Linked DNA regions of Diceros bicornis minor. The protein of the gene in region 2 interacts with the protein of the main gene of each other region in a pairwise test. Links are inferred from orthologs where the notes say so. Each region holds a gene or a part of one and is shown on either strand. Other genes may lie near its edges.

Region 1 (7,379 bases), on a different chromosome or scaffold from region 2:
ACTACTCTTTCCTGCTTCTCCTAATTTTCCAGCTACTTCTACTCAGTGTCCTTTACTTCCTGTCTAGCTCCTTGGTGTTGAGTGTTCTTCTTTCCTTTCAGTTTCCCTAGGCAATTCATCCATTCTACTGGCTTCAACGAGCAGTGATTCCCAAATCATACCTCCATCCTCTCACCTTTCTCTGTAACCTAAGATCCTTATTTCCAATATTTCTTGAACATCTCCAAGTAGATGTCTCCCAGGTATTTTCACACCCTAACTGGTAATATTTTTTAAGTTCTCATATATTTTAAGTTCCCATACATTGTTCCTTTAAATACAGTTTTCTCAAGTAGCTGCTTTGGTCAGTTTTAGTACATACTTACTGATGAACTATCAGTTGACTCATTGTTTTTTTCATACTTTTGCTTCTTGCTCTTTTTTTTCTTCTCTTTCTTTACTTTTTTTGAATGCTTATCTTTTTTCTTCTTTTTCTTCACAGAGTGTTCCTATAATCATTTTGAAGAGTAAGAAAGGAATTTAGTTTTAGCTTACTTTAAAAGGAAATATTTTAAGGGAAAAAAAGATCTATGTTCCAAAAAACTTTATATCTTTCATGAAATGAGACAAGGAATATAACTAAATAAAATCTTCTAAGAAACTTGAACATGCTTCTGTAACATATGCACTACTAATAAGTCATATAGCTGAGATTTCTTATCAAAAAAAATGAGAGAAGTTTTAGTTTTATTTGTAGATACATCTGACAGACAGATATAATCAAATAAACACATATACACACAAACATAAACATACATACGTACATATCTTTCTAGGGCTCCAAAAGTATTTACAGATTACTAACCATATAAAATATAACAAGATAGCATAAATTACAGGAAGAGAAAACAAGGATTCAGACAAAAAAAAAAGACATTAAGTTTAAAATGCATAATTTTTTAGACACATAAGCTTGCTACAAGTGGGCCAGAAATTTGAAGCTAAGCTTTCTACCTGCCAATTCAAGTAACAAAATCTTTCCAACGTCATAATGCCCACAATATTAAAATTATTTATGCCAGAAAAACTATTCAATAATGCCCATATGGGATATTCATTCTGAAACTTGTGAAAATAGTCGATAAAGTTGCTCCTCCAATACTAACTTGAATAAGTACAAAAAAAGACAAACATGCTTACATCAGGTAAACATGTTAGTATTCACCTGTGAGAACTGTTCAATTCGCTCATTCACATCAGGTAGCATCCATGTATCCTCACCCCGAAGTCGCTTAAGTTCTTTACGCCTTTCTTCTTTTTCAAAATTGGCTTTAGCCTAAAACAATGAAAAAAGAAAAATTAACAACTGATCCAATCTCTTTTCACAAAAAGTAAAACAAAAACTTTCACTTTCATATAAGGCTCATGAATGAATTGTCTGTCCCTCGCCAGGAATGTGCTTCTACCAAAGTATAAAGGTTTAAAAAACAAAAATCTCTCGTTCCACATGACCAATCATATTATCAATCTCTAGTGAATTCAGCCGCCAATCAAGGACAGAATCTGGGACCTATTCCAGACCCTCTTCTCTCTCTAAGCCCCCTACCTTAAATACAACTTGAATCTCTTTTATCTTCACCATCCCACTGCTACTGCCTGAGACTTTTGTAAATGTTAGGAGACTGACCTGCACATTTTTAATCCTCAATGCCCATACCCCTCTACTCACACTCCCAAAATGCTTCAGAAGGAATCATCTTTCTCAAAACAAATGATTATATTCCTAACTTTTATTCAACCTTCAACAACTGTCAAATAAAGTAAGTTCTTCCTAGGAGGTTGTTCCTGCCCTTTCATTCTCTCCCCAAACTCCAAAGCTGGGTTTGGTCCTTCTCAAACTCTATGCATAGCTCTACTATAAAATTTATCACAGCTTACAAACCCCACTCCAAAAAAACACCTGAAATATCAAAGAGACAAGGATGAAGAATATTTATTATATATTAAATATGGTACAATCAGGGATCAATACCAACCTTTCACCTATCCAAGACCGACAGCCCACTCTTCCCCTTTAAAATCTGGCTGTAGTCATTATGCCTTCTCCTTCCTGTTTCCTCTACCAGCTCCTTTTCATTTGCATTTAAACTCGTTTTAAACTCTTCCATCTTAAGCAAAAATAAAAACCCTCACTTGTTATACCATATGTTTCTCTCCAACTACAACTTTTCTCCTTCGTTGCCATACTTCTTACATCTTGTCAAATAATTCAGTACAGTTTACTTCCTCCTTTCTTTATAAGTTACCTATACGTATCTCAATCTCAATGAGAAATACGATGTTTCCCAACATTTTTCAGGGGACTAAATTTTCTGGTTCTCTTGCATCAATCCTTGATTTGACCAGTAAGGGTTTACAATAAGCCTGAAATTGATACCAATAGTAAACAGAAGAATAAAACGGTCAAACACAGTCTACTCCAATGCTCCTTACATGAGTTCCTGAACACGGAAAATTTCATTTCAAATACTGCAAAAACGAGGACTGAGGCTATGAAATATGCTAGGAGAGTCGGTATTAGCGGCGGCGTCCCTGGAAAGTGCGCAGCCCAAATGATAAGGTGCCAGAAATGTCAAGAATGGATGATTTAAAAGGCAAAGAAACTCAGAAGAAAGAAACAAGCCTTCCTGAAAAAGAGTGTAAGCAACCGGAGCTTGCCAGAGCACCTAGGAGGTGGGAGGTACCCAAGAGCTTACGGGCATCCCAAAGGGAGACCCCACCCACGCACCCAAATAAAGGTGAGATACTGAGGGGGTGAGAGAAGAGAGGGGGCGGGAAGGGAGGAGAGGCAGAGGCCTAGCTCCCAGGAACCCCCCTCTCACAATTCTAAATGGTTCCAAAAGCCCCAAAACGGAGGTACCTGGCGCAACACCTCGGCCCTAGCAATCCGGGTGTGTTCCTTACGCTCTTCGATGCCCTTCGCACTTTCAAATCTACCGGACGCAGCCGCCATAGTCGCTGTCGTCGTAAAGCGAGGAAGCCGTCACGAAATCTGTTTACGACTGTCGTAATTTAATAAACAAACGGAGACTTCCGATTGTGGTTGGAGGGGCGCTGCTCCATTAACAGAGCATGCGCGGATCTGAGTGTTGCTTAATGTTCTGGTGATCCCTTCAGCTCCAGGTTTTAAAGGATAATTGAAAACCAAACTCGGGAGTTGCCCAGCTTCGTATATTGAGATCGCACCGAGCAAGATTAATGTCACAGTACATTTATTACGCACTTTGGGCAATACTAACGGCATTCTCACCTATTTCCTCTTAAAATCACCAGAGTAAATTAGAAGTTCATAAAGGTTAAATCCGTACCTCTCAAAGATTTCTACCGAAGTGCCCTTCTCGCCAAAGTTTCCCTGTGCTGGGGAAATGGGCTGAAGGGAGGCTGGCCAGAAAGGCTGTGCAAGCTAGCAGGAGGGCAAAATTGCTTCGAAGAGTCGGTGTTTTGCTTTGGTGAACTACTTCTTAAGTATATGAGAAAGTCTTGTGAATTTTGCATTATACTTCATAATTTATCCGTGCTTATTTAAACTGTTGTTTCACATTATTTTTTCTCCGACCTCATATTATATGTTCGTACTTATCCATCCAAGCATTATTCATTACAGTGTGCAATTACCGATTTATTTGTGTGATTTTTTTTTTTGTTTTATGATACAAACGTAAAATCTCTCTCCCAAACATAAAACTTTAAGTTGCATGTTGAGTAAGACATTCTGAAGCACTGATCAAGTGCTTTGCGAGTATAAAACACTGAGCTTACATTTATAATCATAAAGATAAAGAAGACTGGACAATAATTATAAACTAGATACTTTAATGACATTAAAAAGAGTTAACATAAACTAGACAGGTAAATACGCTTTCTTTTCAGGTTTCATAAAACTGAATTTGTGTTTGCAAGAAGCTCTCCCAGGAGTTTCTACTTTACCTAATCTATGAAAATCTTAACTCTGAGCATGCAGTGTTTACACGTTTGATATACAAAATAGAATGTACTCTTATTTTTGTTACAGAAAAGTGAATTTTAATTTACGAATTGGCCTTGAAATATTTAACCCACTAACTGTGCCTTGACTGATTATGTCATAATTAACTCTAATGGCATTAAAGTCTTTCAGATTCTCTTGGGATTCAGAAAAACATCATTCCCCCCCCCCCGCGTCAATTATGGGGCAAATAAAAAGAAATAGTGATTATAGCAGAAACATGCAAAATTATATGACAAAAACTTTCAACCCTACTTACAGCACAAAAGACTAGAACAAATGGAGAGGTATAGCATGTGCTTGAAGAAGGCTCAACATCATAAAGAAATCTATTGTCCATAAATTAATTTGCAAATATAATGCAATACCAGTAAAATTGCCAACAAAAAAATGTTGGGATCAGAGAGGGGAGCTAGATGGGGTGATATAGAAAAATAAGGGAAAAGCAAGTTGTTTTGACTAGTTTGCATTTGACCACACCTAATAGAAATCCAGAGTTTAATCAAACAAGGGGTGATGTAATAAGGAGCCTGAAGGTAGCTGGTCCAGGCTTGGTGCAGTTGCTGAAGGAAACAGGTTGTTTCTCCTTTTCTGCGTTGTAACACTTAGACTGTAACTCAAGTCTTCATAGTCGCAAGAGTGCGTTTCGTTCTTCCATATCTGCATATGTCATCGATTAAGACATAGGAATTGTCATAGAGCAAAAAGTGTATGCCAGCTAAGCCTACTCCCTTTTTTTTTTTTTTTGTGAGGAAGATCAGCCCTGAGCTAACATCCATGCCAATCCTCCTCTTTTTGCTGAGGAAGACTGGCCCTGAGCTAACATCTATTGCTAATCCTCCTCCTTTTTTCCCTTTTTCTCCCCAAAGCCCCAGTAGATAGTTGTATGTCATAGTTGCACATCCTTCTAGTTGCTGTATGTGGGACGCCGCCTCAGCATGGAAGGACAAGTGGTGCGTTGGTGCACGCCTGGGATCCGAACCCGGGCCGCCAGTAGTGGAGCTGCACACTTAACTGCTAAGCCACGGGGCCAGCCCCAAGCCTACCCCATTTTTAAGTAGAACAATGATGACTTTGGTAAAGCCTACTCCACTTTCTCCCATTTAAATCTTATGAACCAGAAGTAGATCACATGGCCACAACTAACTACAGAAGAGTCATGAAGATTCCAGGACAGTTAGGATATAGAATGACACTCAGCTTGGGTTTGTCTGAGGTTTCTTTGTGGTTAGATTCAGGTTAGCCATCTTGGGCAGAACTGTCACAGAAATGTGACTGTGTTCTCATTGCATCCTATCAGGTAACACACAATTTCCATTTGTTCATTACTAGTGATATTTACTCTGATCATTTAATTAAAGTGGTATCTGCCAAACTTCTCCACTGTAAGATTACTCCTTTTCCCTTTGTAATTAGCAAGTATTTTGTGAGGCAGTTTTTTGAAACTATGCAAATTTCTCATCAGACTTTCAAATTATTTATTTTTATATCAATATGGACTCGATTTCTATTTTTATTCAGTAGATTCATATTTTTATTCAGTGAGATAATAATACATTGTTATCAGTATTTATTTGATGCACAAATTGTCCCAGTTTTAGCCAGGGAGAGCCCCTTCAAGCTGGTTTCTGTGTCCTTTTCACATGCCTCCATATTCTTTGAGTGTTTCTTTATTTGCTAGTACAAGAAGATAACCTAGTTTCATTTTGTATTTTCTCTGCCCAAGCCTTGGAATCAGCCCATTTTCCAAGAATCCCTGGTTTATTTTTGTTTAAGGTGGTATTTAGAAACTGTCAAATAAAAAACAAATCTAGGGCCAGCCCCAGTGGCCCAGTGGTTAAGTTCGGTGTGCTCCACTTTGGCGGCCCAGGTTTGGTTCCTGGATGCAGACCTCCACCACTGTCTGTCAGTCGCGATGCTGTGGTGGCAGTTCACATACAAAAAGAGGAAGATTGGCAACAGATGTTAGCTCAGGGGGAGTCTTCCTCGGCTTAAACAAACAAACAAAAAAATCCAGACTTTGGTAAGGAAAGAGCACAGGAGCACAGGGCTCAGGTTAAGTTCAAAATTGTCAAAGCCAAGATCTGGACACTAGGTATGCTCATTAACATTGGGGTGTTGTTGCTCCCAGGTCCTTTCGATGGACAGAGCTAGGAGGAAAGATACATAGATACAGACAAAGATCTAGATATAGACACACATAAATGACTATACTTCTATATATGTCTATATATATTGAAACCATGAGTTCATACAGATACCTCCAATTCCAATTCAATACCACAGAGTTCATTCTAGTTTTCTTCATTTCCACATTTGTAACTCCATTCTCCAACATGGATAAACCTAATTCCCATTATCTTTAATATATTAACTTATTTGATCAATTATCCAGTATGTAACCAGTATCTGTTGCCATAACCACCCCCCTCTCTTGCACAGATGCCCTTTTCACCCCTCTGAAACCCTGAAATCCTGTGCCAGGTTACCCCACTCAGGCTCCAACACCCTGAACCAGGCCATCCTCCCACACAGATACACTCCTCACCCTGCTTGGGTCCTGATTCCCATGTTCCAGAGGCCCCTCAATCCACATGAGCACCCTTCTCAACCCATTTGTGCTCTGAGCTACTTCCCCTCCACTCACCGACACAGATGCCTACCTCATTCAGCCCACCAAATGACTTTGGGACTGAATTGTTCTGGAAGAAAATGAAAAGGAAAGGAACTGAAAGAGAAAGATGACTTAAGCCTCTTTTAAACCATAACAATTCTCACTCACCCCTCTTTTATTTTCAGGCCATTTATTTATTGAAGAGATTGGGTTCCTTTTCTATTAGAATATCCCACATTTGGGGTTTAGCTTATTGTATCTTTTTTTTTTTTTTTTTTTTGTGAGGGAGATCAGCCCTGTGCTAACATCTGCCAATCCTCCTCTTTTCTTGCTGAGGAAGACTGGCCCTGGGCTAACATCCGTGCCCATCTTCCTCCAATTTATATGGGACACTGCCACAGCGTGGCTTGCCAAGCGGTGCGCCAGCGTGCGCCGGGGATCTGAACCAGCGAACCCCGGGCCACAGCAGCGGAGCGCGTGCACTTAACCGCTTGCGCCACCGGGCCAGCCCCTGTATCTTCTTTTTTTTAAATTTTATTTTAACTTGTTTCTTTATCCCCTGTTTCTTATAATCTGGTAGTTAGAGTTAGAGATTTGATTAGATTCAGATTCAATATTTTTTACAAAAATACCTCTGTCTCGTTCCTACTGTATCATGTCTTGAAGCACATCATAGTTCTACTTTTCATAAAGTTAAGATTGATAAGTGGATTCAAGTGTTGTCAGCCTGAATTCATCCAT
Region 2 (7,680 bases):
CACCACGCACCGCTTCTCCGGCCATGCTGAGGCCGCGTCCCACATACAGCAACTAGAAGGATGTGCAACTATGACATACAACTATCTACTGGGGCTTTGGGGAAAAAAAAAAGAGGAGGATTGGCAATAGATGTTAGCTCTGAGCTGGTCTTCCTCAGCAAAAAGAAGAGGATTAGCACAGATGTTAGCTCAGGGCTGATCTTCCTCACAAAAAAATAAATAAATAAATAAAACTGTTTAAAACAACTGTCACTTATGCTAAAATGAAAATATGACTATCTAAATAGAGATATGCCTAAATGCAAAATGTAACTATCAAATATTGTTCAATTCTTTACGTAAAAATTAATAGAATATATACCAGTGTGTTTAATACTGGGTATGTTCCTCTTCCTCAACCCCTAAACAACAAATTTTCCTTTGTTCTAGTCAACTTATAAGAATTAAAAGCTTGTTCATATAAGAACTAGTAGCCCACCAGTAGGTAGAAGCAAAACTAGCATAAGTCTATGCCTCAACTTCCCAACTATAAACTATAACATTTGCCCAGCCTACATTTAAAGGTTGTAAATGGGACTAAAATCCATGTTTCCCTGACTCTCAACCCAATATTCTTATTTTCTTCTCCTTCAAATATGAGCAGAATTGGCTGGTCTGCATCAAACTTCATTGATACAGAAATCCATCTACTATTATGCACCGGAGTCACAATGTCTTTATTTATTTATCTTAAATAAAATGAGTTGTGTGGTGCACCTGCAGATACACAGAAACAGGGCTATGTGCAGAAGGAATGTTTTGTGAATGCTAAGGTTGCTGTAGCTTAGGGAGTAAATTCTATGTTCACTTTTATTTTTAATTATACTCTTTTGATATAACCCTTATCAAATGACATTCTTCAAAATGACACACTGGTGTTTTAGGATGTTTTTATGTCTCTCTTTTTCTCTATTATTTGTAAAGAGCACTCCTAGTTGCAAAGAAGTTGAACAAGCCACTAAAGGAAGGACAAGGACAAAGTCTACAGTCTGCATCTATGATTTTACTAAAATGACAGCTCAGTAGGCATCAACTCTCTGAGCATCTGAACAAGGTAAAGGTGGAAAAGGGAGGGGTTTCACTGAAAGATATGGGGTACTCTCAAATCCTCCAAGGAAAAGGAGCTGAACTGTGGCAGCTACGACTGTCAAGTACTGTGGACTACTCAGAGCTTTCTCTCTGAGGCCGATGGTATCAGTAGACAACGTGAGGGGCAAGCCCAACTCCTAAATCCAATATGGTAATGTAGACACCCTTCTCTTACCACTACTCATTCCCAGACTATTTGTCACGTTCAGCAGATCCCATAACCCTCTGATGGCATAGCTGTTACATGCTTTTCCCCTTCCTCCCCCAATAAATTTCACTTCAAAAGCCCCTGAAGATTCCTTGATTTCCAAAAGCCTGCCATGCCTAGCTTATTAAAGTAAAATGACAAATGTCCACATCTCTGACATACGCTCCTGTCCTAGGCAGGAATTGGAGGTACTGACCTTTCCCCTCTGCCTTGTCCAGTCCAAGACCCAGGATCCAAGCTATCCTCTGTGCTCTTCCCAGATCAACTTTTTTTTTTTTTAATATATATATATATTTTTTTTTTTATTGATGTTTTAATGGTTTCTAACATTGTGAAATTTTGGGTTGTACATTTTTGTTTGTCCATCACCATATACATGACTCCCTTCACCCCTTGTGCCCACCCCCCACCCCCGACCCCCACTGCCCCTGGTAACCACAGTCCAGTTTTCTCTGTCCATGTGTTGGTTTATATTTCACATATGAGTGAGATCATACAGTGTTTGTCTTTCTCTTTCTGGCTTATTTCACTTAACATAATATGCTCCAGGCCCATCCATGTTGTTGCAAATGGGACGATTTTGCCAGATCAACCTTTAATTGCAAATTCACTGAAGGTAAAGTACAACTAAACAACTATCATTTGACTTCTTTGAACCCAATTAAGGAGGCAGTCATCTCTCCTAGATCATTAGCCCCTCCAAATCCTGATGCTTAATAAATTGTTGCTTCATTAAAATAACCGGCAGGCTCCAATTGTTTTGAAGCCAGTCTGACAGGCAGAACTCCAGTAAAACCACACTAGTTCTTGCACAGGGCAGGAGTCAGGAAGTGCTCTTCTCCAAATCATCCCATAGTTTATCATTTTAGAAAGACAAAAATATGTGTATAATGATAATCAGTAAATGCAAGCATATTGTAGAGAAAAAAGATACTTCATCTAAAAGATAACAGGCTAAGACTCTTCTCGGATGCAGACCCTGGAAGGCTGAGTTTTGGCGAGATGGCTGGGTACAAAGCACTAAGGTGTTTGGGGTCGCTTACTTTTCTCCTCGACGTTTTTCCTTTCCTCACCACTTTCAGAGCAGCACTAGAAGCAGAAGAGGCGTGACAAACACATTAAGACTGAAGTGGTAGATGGAACTCATACAGGGCTCCCAGAGGGCATCCACTGGAGGACTGCGAGGTCCCAGGCCCCTTCCCCTGGGGCCTTCGTGAAGGGCCACGGCCGTCTGACGCAGGTTCTAAAACGGGCCACCTCTCTGGGGCCACCACTGCCATCCTGCCCGTCCGCCAGGGCCACCTCCCCACAGAGATCTGTGTCATCTCACCGGGGTCGCCGGAGCCACTGCATAGGGACTACCTCCCCTGGGAGGTCTGTGCCACCTCACCAGGATTGCAAGGGCCACCTCCCCCGGGCCACGGGAACCACGTCCCCAGGTGCCAGGGTCACCTCACCAAGAGAGTCTCCCCTAGGAGATGTGCCACCTCACTGGGCCACCAGTGTCCCCTCCCCGGGCCACCAGCGCCGCCTCACCGGGGTTGCCGACGCCTCGCCGATCTCGCCGGGCGGGAGCATCCCGCCTCTGCGAGAGTCCTCGGCTCCATGCGCAGCCAGCGTGGCTGCGTGGTCCAGCTCCCGCCAGCGACCAGCACCAGCTCCGCCTCGGAGACTGCGGAGCTGAGTGCCACCGCGACTTCCTCTCGCCGTCTCTCTCGTTTCTTCCTCTCCTCCCAGAAAGGCCCTGCCCGCGCCGCCGCTGGCCGTGCGCGGTGGCTCCCCCTGCCGGCCGGGGGACGTCGGCCGCTCCGGAAGAGGGGGGCGATCCTTCTCAACCTCGGTGAAACATACTTCTCCTCGTTGGGGCCCTTAATGATGGAGCTTGAAGGTATCTGTCCTTCCACACCAGAAATTCAATATGAATCATTTCATTTGTATTTTAGATGATATCCCAGACGTTCTGAGAGTGTGAGGGGGCTTGTTGATCAGCTTTAATGTAATTTGGTCGGGCTGTTTACTTGGGGAATTTCCAATGTCGTTATCTTTGGATCATTCTTTTAAGGCTTATCAGATTCAACTAGAGATGACCCTCCAATTGCCTGCGTGGAGGGTCCAGATCTGGTTGTAACCGTTCTGGGAGCTGAATCGAGGAAAAGGACTCGGCATCTAAGAGGCACTTTGCACAGTGCAGAGACCCCAAAACACCTGTTCTTTGCCAGGGAGAAGGAATAGAGTTACCTGGCAGCCAGCAAGGGGTAGGTAGAGCACCCAGGGATTTGACAACTTCAAAAACAAACGCGAAAGGAGATACCATAGAGACTAAATCAAGTAGCGGGGGTGGGGGCAACCCTTAGAAGAAACAGAAACCGTTCAGTGGGGAGAAAACTTGTGTGTGCATTGTGCAAGATGACATGAGTGGAGCCATATTAAAACAGAGCCAGAGCAGCCATTTCAGAGGAATTGCCTTGCATGGCTTGTTTTCTTTTATCTTCAGAACTGGACCAAACCACCAACATTCCAAAGAAGTCTGTAAGGACAAGGATACCTTGTCTGTAAGAACTGGTGGAACTGGACTTTGCTGGTGCCTAAATCGCTAACCAATCAATGAAGTACAAGTTTAGCGTTTTGTCTGATGATTGAACCTCAGGCCAATCTATGAAGTACAAACCCAGCCTTATCTTATCTAGCACCAATGAACTCTTCTTTAATACAACTCACCTTTCCTCCCTTTTTCCCATAAAAACCCTAAGCCCTCTTCTATAATCAGGACACTGTTTGAGTTTCTACCTGAATCTGTGCTCCCAAATTGCAATTCTTTGATCCCAAATAAATGCTTTGCCTCTTAAACTGGTTTCTGTTTTTGTAGATTGACTATATATATATAAAATCAATATCCTGAGATATGAAATACCATTGCAACCATAAAATAATAAGAGGATACTACTGTAATTTATTTATTTATTTGTGAGGAAGATTGACCCTGAGCTAACGTCTGTGCTAATCTTCCTCTATTTTGTATTTGGGACCCTGCCACAGAATGGCTTGACGAGTGGCATGTAGGTCCACACCCAGGATCCAAACCTGTGAACCCTGGACCTCCAAAGTGGAGCACACCAACTTAACTACTATGCCACCAGGCCAGCCCCAGGATACTACTACTGTATTTAAAAAGGAGTGTTCAGAGACAAAATATATGATATCCGAAATGAAAAATTCAATGAAAATGTTCGAAGATAAATGTTGGGAAATATCCTAGGGAAAAAAATCAAAAGGACAAAAAAATGGAAAACAGGAAAAGAACAATAATAAATTAGAGGACCACTCCAGGGAGTCCAAAATCTGAAAAATAAGAATTCCATAAGAAAAAAACAACAGGGGTTAGGGAAGGAGTGAGCATCAACAAAACAATTCAAGGAAATTTCCCTAAACTAAAAGCCCTAAGTTTCCAGACTGAGAGGGCCCACTGAGTCTGCAGCACAATGGATAAAAGTCGACTCACCCCAGGGGCCGGCCCGGTGGCGCAAGCGGTTGAGTGCGCGCGCTCCGCTGCGGCGGCCCGGGGTTCGCTGGTTCGGATCCCGGGCGCGCACCGACGCACTGCTTGGTAAGCCATGCTGTGGCGGCGTCCCATGTAAAGTGGAGGAGGATGGGCACAGATGTTAGCCCAGGGCCGTCTTCCTCAGCAAAAAAAGAGGAGGATTGGCGGATGTTAGCTCAGGGCTGATCTCCTCACAAAAAAAAAAAAAAAAAAAAAAAAAGTCGACTCACCCCAAAGGCTCATCATTGTGAAATTACAGAACACTGGGGACAAAAAGAAACCTGAAGCTTCCAGAGAGAAAAACAGATCACTAACAAAGGATCAAGAATCAGCATATCTTTCAGTTTTTCAGCAGTCACAAAGAAAGCTGAAAGACATGGGAGCAATTCTATACAATTTCAAAAGGAAATTTATTTCAAACTAGAATTCTGTACTTGATTAGTAAACTACCAATGAAGTGTGGGTAAAGAATAAATGTATGTTCAGACATTCAAGATTTCAAAAAATTTCCCTTTCATTTGCTTCTTTCTCAGGAAGCTACTGGAAGTTGTGCTCCATTAAAATGAGGGACTAAACAAAGAAAGTAGAAAACACAGGCTATAGGAAACAGAAGATACAACACGGGAGAAAAATGAAGTATGATACCCTGACAACAACTGTGCACTAGACATCAACTGGTGTAGGTTAGAAGGTTCCAGAAGAGACTCCTTCAGAAAGATGAAACTGATAGAACACCTATCTATCTAAATCTCTGGAGGGAGAGATTTAAATGATCATAAAGAAGTTTGAGCTTGGCTTAGTGATGAATAGTAAGCCAAAATAAGATAATCATTAACTACAGGAAAAACAAAAAGCTGAGCAGAAGAGAAGTAATCATAGTATACTATTTTGCCCAAGATGTGAGCAATGTTTACCTAGTCATAATGAAGTAAACACAAATCTATTTTTTAAAAAAGTACAATATAACTATATCGGGCAGATAAAGGGATGGGAAGTGTGGTGGGGGTGGGGGAACAGATGGGAGAAGGAAGAAGAGCTAAATCCTCATTTTCCATTAGGTGAAGTCAATAGGCAATGCCTAAAAGTGAAAAATGAAGAAATAGCAATACAAACATTTTATATAGAGAAATGAAGGTAAATATCAAAATAACCATTGAAAGAGGTGAAATGACTGCCTTTGAGGAGGGGGAAACAGGTAAGGGGAAGAGTGGAGATACAGTCTCTGCTGTTTCATTGCAAAACTTACAAGGTTTCTACAGAATTGTTTGACTCTAAATCATAGACGTGTATAACTCTGATTAAAATAAAAACTAAAATTAAAGAAGTAAAAAGATTGCTCTAGACTCAAATTTTTGCTTCTGAAGATTTCACTCCCTGGTAAAGGAATTAGACATGAAAATAAATAATTTAAGATTGAGTGTGACACCAAACCTCTTAATCTCAGGTCCCTGTGCCCAGTGCACAGGAAAAGCCAATCACTGAGACACCAGTCCTTGGAGATAGAGACAGGCTTATTGGAATTGGCCAAAACAAGAAGGCAGGAAAGCAAGTTCTCTCAGATCTGCCTTAACAAAAGAAGAAAACAGGGGATCTTTACAGGGCTAAGGGGCTGGCAAGGAGGATTTTCAGGGAAACAAAGAGGAAGTCTGTGTTTCTTTCACTTCAGATAAGACCTTGAGCAACCAGACTTCTTGGTGTCACCGGCAGCTGGGGTCTGGTCATCTGGTGGTCGTGAATTCCTTAAAGGCATTCTTTTACTTCTGCAAAATAAGCTCATAAATTCTCATGACCCTTGAGTCACCCCTTTGGTTAGACAAGAAAACAGCAAGTTAGCAAGCTATAATTACGTGCATGCCATGGAGCAAGCATTTGGACTCCATAAATACATCTAGTGGAGACTAAGGTTATTTATTAACTTCTTTTCATCTGTGGCTGTATTGGGAACGAGGTCGGAACATGTTGGGAACATGTTCTTATGGAATATTTACAGTAACCCTCAGGTACCTGGCTTCAAGTGCAGTAGGTTCAACAATGGAAATGTTTGCAATGACTGAGGGAGCACAGAAAATAGTTACTCTCTGGCGAGAGGAGAGAGGCATCTAAGATGGATGGAATACTAGGCAGTAATATGGACGAAACAAGAGATAAATTGTGTGTGCTGGGCACATAGCAATCCATAGTGCTGGTGTGGAGTTAAAAGCAAGATCCAGAATATTATACATGATATACATGTTAGGATGTATTTTTTTTTGGGGGGGTGATGAGGATTGGCCCTGGGCTAGCATCTGTGCCCATCTTCCTCTCTTTTATATGTGGGACACCTGCCACAGCATGGCTTGACAAGCAGTGTGTCGGTCCACACCTGAGACTCGAACCAGCGAACCCCGGGCTGCCAAAGCAGAGCATGCGAACTTAACCACTACGCCACTGGGCCAGCCTCGTAACATTAAACTGTTAGATGTCTATCAGAAGGAGTTGGAATGGGGAAGAGGCTTTGAACATTTCTGTATTTTTTTGTGTGTGTGAGAGGAAAATTAGCCCTGAGCTAACATCTGTGCCCATATCCCTCTATTTTGTATGTTGGTCGTCACACCACGGCATGGCTTGATGAGTGGTGTAGGTCTGTGCCTGGGATCCGAACCCACGAACCCAGACCGCCAAAGTGGAGCATGGCTGACTTAACCACTATGCCACAGGGACAGCCCTCAAGAAGATACTTTTTAAAGTATACAAAAATTAGAAGTTTAGGATTGAATTTTTACTGCGTGGCTGTGGAAAACGTATTTGCAGTTGGTGTCACTGGGAC
Region 3 (6,552 bases), on a different chromosome or scaffold from region 2:
CATTTCACACAGCAATGCAACACGGGTTCATCCTACTAAACCTACTCACTTCTGAGCTTCCCAGTCTGAAGAGGTGGTGACCAATGGATGTATCCTCCAAGGCAATACTACCTTGTGGGATCAAGATACGCTATCAGCTTGCCTCTCTATCTCTGTGCTCTCTAATTACAACAGCCTGCAGTCCGGGAAGATGGTAAGAAAACTGAAATCATAAGCTGAAATGGTATTTCTAATCACCTACAATACTTCTCCCCCCATCCATCTTCCATCCTGTTAATAAAATTACCTTAAAGCAATCAAATGCTTTTGCTTGTATATTTCACAAGGAAACACAAAAATATTCTTTCAAAGCCATAAAATACACAGACAGTAACTAGCCAAGGATGAGTCAACACTGAAGTAGACGTGGAAAAGGATACTGTTTCATGACTTCTTTATACTTCACAGTGTCACGAATATCTGGGGGGATAAAAATTAACTGGAATTTAACACATGAAAAACAATACAGTTTGAGACCCTACACCTATAATATCCTCAGGGAACAGGCCTCTCAAGTCATCTCTGCTTCCTCTAAGGAAAAAAAATAAGTTTCTCCCTTGGCATCTGAGTCACTTTTAAATCTTTTTCCTAAATTTTGAAGCTAAGATCATTGAACTGTGATAGCAAAAGAAGCAAGATTGTGAGAAGAAAAGAAGGGTAAAAGGTGCCCTATAAGGACTTTCCCTACCAGCAAGAAACTGAAACTAGCCCTTTAGGCTTATCTTGTCAGCATTCTCTTCTACTGATTTCTCCAGCTTCATACTAGTTACCTTTCTTAAAAGGACAATGCCAAGTAACCCAGGAAGAATGTTAGGTTAGCAGCTCTCAAGCTATGGCAGAGATAGTCTGAGACAAGGAGAAAAGCTTTATACAACTTAAATACCTTATCAGTGACCACTCGCATGGAACAAGAGAGCTAAGTCAAGAAAAAGGGTTTATTTCTTACTAATCACATACTGGTGACAAAGGTAACGCAGACATGATTTTTAAAAAACAACTAATCTGTCCAGTAACATCAAACTAAACCTATCTACCAGTCTGTAGACCTACCCCATAAAGTATTAGAATTCCATCCTTTAAGTGAGAAATGGGCAATTTTTTCTCAAACTCTTCCCAAAATGATCTCTGCTTCTTAATACAAGGTCTTCCTTTATTAGTATGTTTAGGGTGCAAGGAGCTTAACAGGATTAAGAAGAGACAAGGAGGGAGATGATCAGCATATAGTGATAGCCTGGAAATCAGGAAGCCCAGATCCTATTAAGAATCATGACACTGGGGCTGGCCCGGTGGCTTAGCGGTTAAGTGCGCGCGCTCCGCTGCTGGTGGCCCGGGTTTGGATCCTGGGCGCGCACCGAGGCACCGCTTCTCTGGCCATGCTGAGGCCGTGTCCCACATACAGCAACTAGAAGGATGTGCAGCTATGACATACAACTATCTACTGGGACTTTAATGGAAAAATAAATAAATAAAATTATTAAAAAAAAAAGAATCATGACACTGGATCACAACCATTCTAATTCTTTTTTATAGTCACAGATTCCTTTTAAAGTCTGATGATAACTGGGAACCTCTCTCCAAAACAATGCATATTTGGATATACACATACATTTTCCCATGTAACTTTGGGAGCAGAAGCAAGGTTCCTACAGATCAATACATGAACTACAAGAACCCTTACACTATAATTAAACTTTGAGAAAAGAAATTAAATAAAAAAGGTTTACATATCAGAGCCTGCTGAAGGGTTTATGGCCTAGAAGTGAGAGGACTGACTTTCTATCACTTCATTTTCCCAAACAACAATAGCCTGACACCCTAGTGTCAAAAAGAGGGAAGAGATAAAGGTGAATGGTAAGGAAACAAATTTAGGAAAGAAGAGAGAGTAAACAAAGAGAAAATGTGAATAAGGGAGAAGCCTGTTTATGGATTCTAGCAAATCCACGGGAAGTGAAAGTAGATAGTTCAGAAAAAAATGAAAGCATTGACGACTGGCAGGCTGGAGGCTTTCCATTCTGTGAGGCACTACACAGAGTTCTATACAGTTTACTCACCAATATTGGCAGGAAAGGGAACTTCATGCACAGCTGGGTCCAGGTTGATCACATAAGGTGGAGAGCCTTGGCTATGCAGGTGTCCTGTGAGCCTCTATAGAGATATGGGGAGAGTGATGGAGTAACACAAAGAGGGCATGATAAGGGAACAAGAGAGAACTTACATTCTTTTATGGCCCACAAAGACTTTTGCACTTACATTTCCCTCTACCTGAAATATTCGCTCCTGATGTCCACCTCCAATACTCAACTCTCAGTTGACATGTTACCTTTATTTATCACCCATCTAACAGAGCCTCCCCGACTCTCGATCACTTATTATTTTGTGGGTTTTTTTTTTTTTTTCCTATCTCTCCCACTAAAACGTTAGCTCTAAGCGGAACCTTGTCAATCTCATTTTCGCTGTATCCCCAGTCCCTGGAACATGGTAGGCGCGCAAGAAATAATTCTTTAGCCAATCTACACCGGAAGCCTATGTGCTAGCACTGTATTAATCGTCAGAGTTACTTGCAAGCCTCTGCCTTTGAGGAGTTGGCAACCTTATCGGTAAGACAATTCCAGTACAACGTGGTAAGCTGTACTAAGTATGCACTGAGGGTACGCGGAAGAGAGCCTTAATTCACCCAGGCTAGAGTCTGAGAAGGCTTCGCCGAGGAAGGAACTGGAGTTGCTGGCAAGTCCCCGAAAGCCACGCGCTGGTAACCTCCAACTCCACAGAAAGACCTCCCTTTCTCCCTGACCTTCCGCCAGCCACAGATAACCTCTCGCGCGCCCATACTACGCCCGCGCCGTGTAGGTCACCTGTACAAAGGTGGTTTTCCCAGATCCCGCCATTCCCAACACCAGGAGACACACTGGGGGCTGAGGACCCCCGCAAGCCTCCGGCTCAGCAGCAGCTACGGGCGCCGCCATCTTTCTCCTGGCTCCGCCCACGTTACCATAGAGACGCCCGTGGCTAGAGAGACTTCCGCGACGCTCGCGGTTGAGAAGGATGGAACCGGACTGTCCCGATAGGGAAGGACGAAGGGGCGGAGTTGACGCCAGAGCCTCTCTTGTTCCGACCCGGCTTGGGGGCCAACTAGTGACAATGGCGGGGAAGTGGAGACGCTGGGAGGAATGCTGCAGGGGGGTAGAAAAAGAGGAGCTCACGGTCGTAGGGTACGGCTTGGGAAGGGCCAAGCTCCCGTCCCTAGGAGAGCGAAACCAGGTGGGATCCCGAGGGCAGGGCTCCCACAGTACGAAAAAGAAGAGCGTGCGTTTCTCTTTGGGCCCCCAAGGAGCGGGGAACGGAGCCTCCAGAGAGGCGGCTGCTAGGGCTTATTCGGCAGCCGCGGAGGTTAAGCCGCTCAGGGCTGGGCCGGCCCAGACTGAGGCGACGTGCGACCCCATGGGTTGCTGGGCAGCGCTGAGACCCATTGAGCATAGAATGGAGAAACTGCTAAAACGTGCCCCCCGGGTCGCCGTTTTCACGTGTCGCAGGCCCCTGACACTAGCGCTAACTCCTTGGCAGTCACGGTCAGTGAACTACACCATGACCTTGGGGATGAACGCTCGGATTCCTGGCCCAAGTAGGTACTGAAGGGACGCTCCCCTCCAAGGCAGCGCCCGCGGAAACCCGCAAGGTGGTGAAACGGAGAAACTTATTCCTACTGGCGACCGCCCAGTCTGTTCCTGTGGCCCTTTGTAGCTTCTGTAGTGTTCAGTAAGTCATAAGATCTGGTGTCACACCCAGGCTCTGCCACTTGCTAGTGGTGTAAATCGTGGCGAAGTCACTTCAATTCTCTGAACCTATTTTCTCCTCTTTAAAATTGAAATAATACTTAACAGGGTTGTAGTGAATGCATATTGTAAATTGTAAACTGCACTCCCTCATCGTTGCCCCTAGTTGTTTACCTTGCCTTGCACACTGTCAGGAATATAATAAAGGCGCTCAAAAATATTTTCTTGTATGCATTAAAGTACAATTGGGCATTTTTTATTGTTTCCTAAAATTCCGTTCAGAACTGATGGGGGAACGTTGCTCTTGTTCTTCCTTCAGGTTTGCTGAGGACTCGAGTAGTTCCCCTCCACCGTATCTTAATTTAATAAATAATTTGGTCAAGTCAGAGAAGCTAACAGACGCAGAAATGAGGTTTAAAGAAAAGATAGTGGTAGAAACTATGAAGCTGAACAAGCAAATAAAACAAGCTCAAATGGAACAAGAATGGCTGAAGGAGGAAACGAGGCAGCTACACGCTGAAAAGTTACTTGTCCAGGCTGAAAACAAATTCTTTCTGGAATACCTGACCAACAAAACTGAGGAGTATAGAAGGCAACCTGAGAAACTGTGGAACAACTATTTACAAGAAAGTGGCGAGACTGAACGAAGGAGGCAAGAATCAGCCTCCAAATATGCAAAACAAACTTCAGTGCTTAAAACAGAGCTCTTGGAGAAGGAAAAGATCCATTCCAATTTGAAGCAGCAGTTGCAAGCATTGAGGGACATTTCAGTATTAAAGGAGAAACAGGAGAGAGAAATGCAGACATTACAAGCAGAGACAGCTGCAAAGAAACAGGAAATCCATGTCCAGTTCCTCCAGCAAAAGGCATTACTGGAGAAACAACTGACTGAGCCAGACATGAGTCAACTGGGAAAGAGAAGAAGAAAGGAGCTTAACAGGAAGACCCAGCCCTTGGAGTTGGCAGCAAAGCAGTATAATTTTGAGTTCTACCGTGACATCAACAGAAAGAACCAGCAGTTAAAGAAGGAACTACTGCAGTTAAATCAGCAATGCCAGGAGTTGCAGGCCACACCAAGCCAGTTAAAAAATCAGAAGCAGCAGCTGCAGCAGGAGCAGTGGTATGTGGAGTGCTTAATGCCGGGGAGGCGACGACTGCAAGGCAGGCACAATGGTGCCCAAAAGGTCAGGGTGCTCCAAAGACCACACCGACCCCTCCCCTAGGCACGAAATCAAGGATTAATCCAAAGTAATTCCTAAAATAACACTGATTAAGTAAGGACCAGAGCAGGTATTCTTAGGTGCCACATAAACCTGGTTAGGAAGACTTTTGGATCTCAGATTGCTATGGCAAAATATCCGTCGTGATGTGTTAGTGTGAAGGATTAGGTGCTTTTTTCCAGCAGTACTAGATATTAGTGTGACTGGCTACCCTTAACTAGGTTTTTCTTTAATTAGCTCTTGTTAATAAACAGGATGTTCCTCAAACCTCCAGATAACCTAATACCATATGCCAAATATCTGTACATTAAACTAGCTCAAGAAAGCCACCTTGAGGAAGTGAAAGGAAAACAGTTGGGTGATTTATTTCATCTAGCTAAGTTAGATCTCTTTATAGAAAAAGCACCATTAAGGGTAGCATTTCAGATTGACTATGTACTGCTTCCTGCTCTGTAAACAACCAATATCAGTTTATCCTCATTCCTTTAGGCCAACTCAGCACACAAAGGCAAAGTGTTTTTAAGTTTTTTTTAAAGTTTGTGCCAGTGACCAGGTAGCTCCTTCTGTAGTTTTCTCATGAGTGAAAAAGTACTCTAATAACAGCAAGTTCAAAAAGCAGTGGGCAGGATGACCTTTTGTCTGAAGCAGCCCCTAAAATTTTACCTCTGAGTAAATTGAGAAACAAAGATAAAGGGAACGTATATTAGGTCAACTCTCACTTTTGAAAATGTTTTCTGTAAAGAAATATTTCCAGTATTAATGAGGTGACTGAATAGCTCTGTTTCAGGAAATTGTATCAAAAGAAAATTTAAAATTATTTTTTAAAGAGTTTTGTGCCATCTATTTCCCTAGCAACATCCTGAATTCTAAGATGACAAGATTATTTAATGTTAAATATAGCAAGTACTTTAGTTTTAGGTCACTTACTACATTTTCTTACTATATGTGCACTTAATAGTACACGAAATGCCTTTTGTAATTAATATATGCCATATGTCTTTTTGTGTGCGTGTGCGTGTGTGTGTGAGGAACATCAGCCTTGAGCTAACATCCAATGCCAATCCTCCTCTTTTTGCTGAGGAAGATTGGCCCTGAGCTAACATCCGTGCCCATCTTCCTCTACTATATATAGGATGCCGCCACAGCATGGCTTGACAAGCAGTGCATCGGTGCACGCCCGGGATCCGAACCCGCAAACCCCGGGCCGTGGAAGCGGAGCACGCGCACATAACCGCTACACCACTGGGCAGGTCCTATTTACATCTATTTAATACAACTAGGAATAGTATTTTAAATTAGTATAGATTTTTAGGGTAGTAATATTTTTTGCACTTATGACATATGGTTAGATCAGTGATTTATTTGAATGCTGAATCCTAATACAGGAATATAACCCCATATTTTAACATTGCTCCTCTATGGGGAAAATATAATCAACTTTATGTTTTCCAGAAATTATTAGTGATGAAAAACTTCAAAATAATTTTCCTGAATTTTCAGTTTTATCCATATGTAAAATGAAT
Region 4 (7,356 bases), on a different chromosome or scaffold from region 2:
TAAAAGGGCAAGGTTCAGGCAGTTTGTTTATTTTTGATGTACAGGTATCCTCGTGTTTTACTTGGTTTTAGCATATGATTTCTAGTTGTTGGTTTTTGTGTAATTGTTTGTTTTTTTTTAAGAAAAAGCTTTGTTCTTAGCTTGGGAATAGTCTGATCTCTTGTGTTTCATGTTTCACCTAAGTCATAAATAAAGGTAATGTTCTAAAAAATAAAAGTATAATACCAAAATAAACTACTTAAAAGTTTTTGAGTGACTAGAGTTTAATTTCCTGTAATTACTCAGCTGAATTTTTGTTGTACTGACTGCACGTGACCATCCTGAGGGGGTATATGTTACGGGAAGAAAATATTTTTGAAATGAGTATTAGTGATTTTCATCACCTTATGAGTAAACTAAATATCAGAACTTACATTGCCTCTTTTTTTTTTCCTATCCCAACTTCTCAAAGTAGCAGCTTCTTATCAGGTGAGTTTTTCTTACCACTCAAAATTATAGAATATGAAAATAATCCAGACACCATTTAATTTTGTGGATGATTTCTGTAGGAAAACAGCTTTTGAGTATAATCTTGAATAATCTCTAATTTTTGAGTCTAGTGTTATTAGTATTATACCTTAGATAAAGACATTTTCCCTATTGTTTTTGAAGATTCAACTCTTGTAAAGTAGCCTGTGCATAAGTTAATTTCCATGTTCTGTAAAGAGAATGTATTGTATTGGAGGAAACACTGGATTTAGTCTTGTCCCTGCCTAATTAACTGGAGAAATAATTCCATTTTGGGCATTATCTTTTGTCTATAATATGAATGAGACCATATTAAGTTTTTCCCAACTGAAAGAAACTAGTTTTCATTTCTCTGAAGTTTTGCGATTTCCTTTCACTACCAGTAAATGCTTACTGTAAAGTTCCTCAGTAAAATAAAGAAAGAGGAGGATACTATACTCCTATTGACTTTTCACTGGGAGTTCTAGTGTTTTTTCCAGGATATAGAAGAGGCCACTGGATGGCAAGTGGCTTCCAGATCAATACAGTAACACTGTAAGATTTACTAGTAGATCTCAATGTACTGTCTGGAATCTGGAGCCTTGGACTAAATCATCTCTCAGGTTCCTTCTGACTTTAGTTCTAACATGTGTCTAAAAGACATGACATCGTTGAACAAATATTAATTAAAAGATCAGAAATAACCTGTTTTTCCCAGTAATTTTAAGGCAAATTTTATGTTAGGTACCAGAGTCTTGAGCCCCTCCTAACCATTGTTAAAGACCAGCTAAGATATTAGCTGAAGGAGAATTCTTAAATTTATCGTGTTGACACTTTGCTGGTGCTTATCTAGTTTTTTTGTCCTTTGAAAAAGATGCTATATTTATTCTCTCTATAACAGCATTTATACCATCTCATTTGGGGAATTTGAAAGACATGCACAGTTGTTTTCTCTTAATATTTGATGAGTGATGCTATCCCTCTTCAAGAGAAGATTTTTGTTTTTAGCATCTTCTTCATATCTGGAAATTATAATTGCTTCATAATGTAGTCATCAGAAGTGTGCTGTGAACAAAGCACCTAAAAAGGACAAACTCTGAAAATACGTCTATGTTAAGGAGGAACTTCTGGCTTAATTAAACTAAACTTGTTAAATTGTTAGACAAATGAGACATATTTTTCAGTTTGTCATAAATTCTTTTAGGGTTGAAATTGTGAAATTACCTCATGGTAAGATCTCTGTGCCCAGGAATAACATCTAGAAATCTCAAAGCTTTTTATTCACTGTCTGATATCCTTTCAAAGCAGGGAGAGGGATGCTGTGGGAAATGCAATAGCTATTATTCCACAGTTAATAAGTTTGGCAGAGCTAGAAATAGGCTGGTTTTCCTTCTAGTGCAATTTTCTGAATGTTTGTCCCTTGGTACCTACCACTCGGACTGGCTACAGTTATACACATAGAGTACTTCCTTATGACCTTGCTTTCTATTTGCAATTCCACCCTATGTATGTCTTTTTAGCTATTCATTCTTCACTCATCCCACCTAGTGGATTTGTAATGTAGTGTGTATCACTTCAGTATCAATAGGGTGCATGTTATATTAGAAGTTGTATACAAGTCTGGTGTGGTGGTCAGTGTAGTATTTGTTCCACCCTTTGCTGCCTTCCCACGGGACAAACACACTAGCAACCTTGGTGTATTTTTCCATTCCCTTATAGATCAATGTGTCAATTGGACAGTTTGGTTGAGCAGCAGAATTCAGCCCCACCACCATATAGGATTTACCTGGCGCAGGCTATGATATGACCCACGCTTTGTTTATGCTTACATTCTGTCCATGTTCCGTGCCAAAGCCACAAATTGGTGCAGGTTATATCTGTATTCATTCACCTGTGTGCTTCAACAGCAGTCATTTGTATATGACTGGTTTTGAATAACTCTAATACTTTCGGTGACATTTCCAATCTGTTACAAGTTCTCAGGATAAGAAGTACAATGTCTTCAAGTAGCTGCTCTTTGGTCTTATCCTCTAACTTGAGCATGGCAATACAGACGGTTTGAATAAATCTGAACATACTGGATAACCTTGGAATATTTGCTCATAGATGACCAACCTAGCAAGTGACTTTGAAACCATACTTTTGTATAGTACTTTACAATCACCCTATTCTAAGGTATTATCCCCATTTTACACATGAGAAAACTGGCCTAGACCAGTTAAAGAAACTCATTGAAACTCACATAGTCTCGTAACTTGAAAAGCGTTAAGTTCAAGTCCAGATTGCCTACTATGTTAAATTGTCAATAACTCTGGGCACAGAGAAATCCAAGCAGTCTGACCCCCAAACCCATGCTCTTTTTCTTCTTTGGCTATTTGTGATATAAGAAGGGTTCTCTTTAATAAAAAATATTATTGACTGGGTAATATAATTATGTGGTTCAAAATTCAAAGGGTACAAAAAGATATACAGTGAAGAGTTTTTCCCACCCTCGTCCCTCACTATTCGGTTCCCCTACCTGGAGGCATTCACTTACTACTTGTTTGTATGTTTTCCCAGAGGTATTTTATGCATATACAAGCACACACATACATATATTCCTTGTTTTATACTCAAATGGAAGCATGCTATATACATTGTTCTGCACCTTGCTATTGCACTAAATATATTTTAGAGATTGTTCACTAGCAGTCCATAGAGAACTTTGTCATCGTTGGGACTGCTGCATAGTTTTCCACTGAGTGGCTATATCATATTCATGGGCATTTGTTTCCAATATTTTTTTATAAACAATGTTGCAGTGAATAGTTTTATATATGATGTGTATATATATATGTGTATATATATATGTACACATACACATATATATGTACACATACATACTTGAGGATACTATTCATAGACAATGAATTGCTGCTCTAAAGGGAATATGCATTTATCTCAATTGTATCCTCAAGTTCCCTTCGGTAGAGGCTCTACCAATTTTTGTTCCTACCAGCAATGTATTGAAAGTGCCTATTTTGCCACAATCTCAACAAAACAAGCATGTTCTCAAACTTTTGGATCTTTACCAATCTGGTAGGTGAAAAATGTTATTTTAGTGTACTTTTAAAAAATAAACTTTATTTTTTAGAACAGTTTTAGATTTCCAGAAAAGTTGCATGGAACAAACTTCTATATATCTTCACTCAGTTTCCTTTAGCGTTAACATCTTACATAGCTCTGGTATATTTGCCATAACTAATGAACCTTATTATTAATGAAAGTGCATAATTTATTCATATTTCCTTAGTTTTTACCTAGGGCCTTTTCTCTGTTCCAGGATCCCATCCAGGATACTGCATGACATTAGTCATTGTCTCCTTTAGTTCCTTTGACTGTGACAGATTCTCAGACTTTCCATGTTTTTGATGAGTTTTCAGGAGTGCAGGTCAGTTATTTTATAGTCAGGACCTGAATACATATGGATTTCTGATTCTCAGGATAGGAAGTACAATGTCTTATAAGCCTCTGTTACAGATAGAGGAGAACCATCAGTGCAAGTGATGTGGTCAAACTTGTCTGATCACTCTGCCTACACTGCGGAGGACGGCCCAGAGGCTCGATTGGAAACATCACATAGGCCGGATAATAAGTCCTTGAAAGCAGAAGCAAGGTTGATAGGGACATATTCCAGAGAAATTAGAAGAGCCAGGATTTGGTGATATTGAATGAGAGAGTAAAGAAGTCATCTAAGTTTACGAGCTGGATATTTTGCCTGTAACCTCTACGAGAAATTCAAGAGAAAATACTTGAACAATTTACAACATACCGGTTACTCAATATGTACTTTCTCTTTTCGTTTTTTGAGCGCTGCCCTACTACAATTCCCAGAGCCTCGCACTCTACCACAATCCCCTTAGAGTCTGCCGCGCAGAGTTCTGGGACTTGAAGTCCGCGGCCTATTTACCCAAGTTAGAGATAGGGGCCTGTGGAAACATGAAGAGGTAAGGGCTTGTCTGAGAGAAGGCGGCGAAGGGAGCTCTGTTCCACCTTTTAACTTTTAAAATGGCTTTTATTACTTTGTGTTTGGGGTATGTCACGTTCTCGGGATGCGGTTTCGTGTGAACGGGAAGACAAAGGAGGAGGGAGGAGGAGAGGCAGGCAAGACAGGCCTGCAGGGTGAAGTTCCGGAAGGGCCGCCGCCGCTGCCGGTTCCCGTAGGAATGCCCTCCCGGCACAGGTATCTAGGCCACGGCGCCGGCCCCAGGAGCTGGACGGATGCTGTGGCTTCTTCCCGTTTCAGACGGACCCACCCAGGTAAAAGGGTCTTGGCTAACTGATGCCCAGCGCCGGAGAAACCCAGACCAGCTCCGCCTTGTCCCGCCCTACCTCGACCTCACCCTCAGAAAGGGGCTCAGGGTGGGCGCATCTATTTGCAGTGTTTGTGTACTAAAGAAGACTTGCTCGAGCCCGGAGAGCATGTAGCGCTTTCAGGTCTTAACGTAAGCAAGTGGTACTTTGTTTCTACAAATTTAGCAGGAAAGTACAAAGCCGGTTCGATGTATTACAGGAACAGAAACACACTGCTCCGAGCAGTTCCCCCTACTGGTTCTGCAGGAAATAGCTTTAACTTGGCTGGTCATTGTTGAAAGCCTGACCTTTACAATTACTGACAGTAACGCAAAGCCTTTTTAAAGGAACCTCATTAAATTAGTTTTGTATTCACTCTGCAAGTAGAATAATCACTGTGGAATAGGGCGGAGCATTTAAAATTCTTACTGATACTATGCTCTCCTGCACTGTCAGTTTCTGCATCTTTTAAAAAAACCGTTTCTGATTTTTCCTGCCTCAAAATGACTTAAAAATGTTTATTATGATATATCTCATACATGAAAATAATGTATATATACAGTTTAAAGAATAATAATAGAAGTCCCCTGTGTGCCCCTTCCATATTGCTTCTCCCTCCCTTCCCCCTGAGGGGACCACTATCCAGAATTTTGCACTAATCATTCCCTTGCTTTTTTTTTTTAAATAGTTTTCCTACATATGAATTTATCCTTAAACAAAGTGTTCCTATTTTTATCCATTTTTCAACTCTTTATAAATGGACACATGTTGTATGACTTTTTTGTGCTTGCTTTTTTTCACTTAACATTTCTTTTTGAGAGTCAAAGCCACTTTAAACGTAGCAAGCACTTTCAGAATTGTAGATAATAAATAAAAATTAAGATACTTAAAAGGAATTTTTTAAAACCCTGGGCCTAAGGATATTTTAAAGTTTCCCAAAATAAGCCTAAGTCTTTCTAGAGCATGGGAATCTTGCTTATAATTATGGGAGATACATCTTCTAGGCCTCATCTTAACCCCAATAGTAAAGGGCTATTTTATAAGGAAGGTGTGCATTGTGTGTAAGTAGGTATTTAGTAAATGTTTGTGGAATGAATGATAAAGGGCAACACATAGTTAGGGAAATATCTTTGAACAAATGAGGTCACTAATGGTAGATAATATAGATAAAGAATATATTTTGAGATTTACTGTCTCTTCTACTTTCTGTATATATTCTTATCTCTACTCCAGGGTAAATAGCTGTGTGAAGAGTGATGAGCATGTCCTGGAGGAGTTGGAAACAGAAGGGGAGAGGCAGCTGAAAAGCCTCCTTCAGCATCAACTTGATACCTCTGTCTCCATTGAGGAGTAGGTATTGATTTTGCAGACAAGTAGAGTATCATAGCCCCTCACCTTCAGGTGACAGACCCCTCTTAAAGCCTGGATGGAACACTCCTCTCCAACCCCCCTTTTCTTGGCAAACTTATACTTATTAGGCAGGATTTTGCTTCTGTGTCTCTTACTCTAGGATGCCTCCCATATCCCACTAAGTCTGGGCTAAGTGCCTTTCCTATGTCTCCCCTTAACATACATAGCACTTCTAACCCAATATTATCATTGCCTCTTTACTTGCCTCTCTTCCACAAAAACAGAAACCATTTTCATCTTTTTTACTGTTAAATCCTCAGTACCTAGCACAGTATCTGATGTATAGTAGGTACTCAATAAATAAATAAATATTTGATTCAGTCATTTATTAGTCCTGGAAGAAGGGATTATTGACAGGTTCCATATCGTTGCAGTGCTGCTTCAGTCTAGAAGTGGGACATGAGAGAGAAATTGCCAATGAGTTTCATTGTGCCTCTTTTCGTAGTGAGCCCCATTTCTGTAAATTATGGTAGCTTGAAGATTTTCTTAGTCTCTCCTTGCTTGTTTTGCAGATGCGTGTCTAAGAAAGAGAGCTTTGCTCCTGGTACTATGTACAAGCCCTTTGGGAAGGAAGCAGCTGGGACAATGACTTTGTCCCAGTTTCAGACACTGCATGAGAAGGACCAGGAGACTGCTTCTCTCAGGGAACTAGGGCTCAATGAAACAGAAATCTTGATCTGGAAGAGCCATGTTTCAGGTGAAAAGGTGAGTGGGGCAATTTTTTTCTGGAGAATAAAGAACGAGAGCTCTTCATTTGGCACTGAGAACCTTTTCATTTTTAGTTCTCACAAAACTGAGCTTTGTGTCTGAATCTATGGTTTCTAGGATAGGGACCTTGGTAAAAGAGAAGCTGTTCCTTGACTTCTTAGCTAACATGTCTGTAAACGATCATTTCTGGGCTCTGATCATCTTCTTTCTTATTTGAGGCATCAGATCTTCACTTTCAGGGTGTGTCCTCTATGATATATGCTGTCTCATTTCTCTGGTTTCAGAGGGCAAGACTGAGGGCAACTCCTGAAGCAATACAGAACCGTCTTCAAGATATTGAAGAAAGGATCTCGGAGCGTCAGCGCATCCTTTGCCTGCCACAGAGATTTGCAAAGAGTAAACAGCTGACCCGACGAGAAA

Evidence for each region.
Region 1: the proteins of RINT1 (region 2) and CWF19L2 interact in binary tests that used the Homo sapiens proteins (3 or more experiments, as listed by UniProt). The two-hybrid records come from large-scale screens. The link is inferred for Diceros bicornis minor from reciprocal best matches to the Homo sapiens genes RINT1 and CWF19L2.
Region 3: the proteins of RINT1 (region 2) and coiled-coil domain-containing protein 121-like interact in binary tests that used the Homo sapiens proteins (3 or more experiments, as listed by UniProt). The two-hybrid records come from large-scale screens. The link is inferred for Diceros bicornis minor from reciprocal best matches to the Homo sapiens genes RINT1 and CCDC121.
Region 4: the proteins of RINT1 (region 2) and RBM41 interact in binary tests that used the Homo sapiens proteins (3 or more experiments, as listed by UniProt). The two-hybrid records come from large-scale screens. The link is inferred for Diceros bicornis minor from reciprocal best matches to the Homo sapiens genes RINT1 and RBM41.

Annotation. Positions count from the first base shown.
Region 1 is NC_080746.1:28,177,048-28,184,426, reverse strand, and holds the start of CWF19L2 (CWF19-like protein 2), read right to left. Parts: upstream 3,023-7,379; 5' UTR 2,993-3,022; coding exon 2,900-2,992; intron 1,316-2,899; coding exon 1,205-1,315; intron 489-1,204; coding exon 366-488; intron 1-365.
Region 2 is NC_080742.1:12,722,127-12,729,806, forward strand, and holds the start of RINT1 (RAD50-interacting protein 1), read right to left. Parts: upstream 3,025-7,680; 5' UTR 2,915-3,024; coding exon 2,873-2,914; intron 2,426-2,872; coding exon 2,380-2,425; intron 1-2,379. UniProt on the Homo sapiens protein: Involved in regulation of membrane traffic between the Golgi and the endoplasmic reticulum (ER); the function is proposed to depend on its association in the NRZ complex which is believed to play a role in SNARE assembly at the ER.
Region 3 is NC_080751.1:55,294,754-55,301,305, forward strand, and holds coiled-coil domain-containing protein 121-like, read left to right. Parts: upstream 1-3,928; coding exon 3,929-5,032; 3' UTR 5,033-6,033; downstream 6,034-6,552. Other genes in the region: GPN1 (GPN-loop GTPase 1), read right to left, coding at 420-459, 2,091-2,184, 2,892-3,002.
Region 4 is NC_080781.1:99,876,018-99,883,373, reverse strand, and holds the start of RBM41 (RNA-binding protein 41), read left to right. Parts: upstream 1-4,340; 5' UTR 4,341-4,464; coding exon 4,465-4,472; intron 4,473-6,051; coding exon 6,052-6,168; intron 6,169-6,740; coding exon 6,741-6,933; intron 6,934-7,220; coding exon 7,221-7,356. UniProt on the Homo sapiens protein: May bind RNA.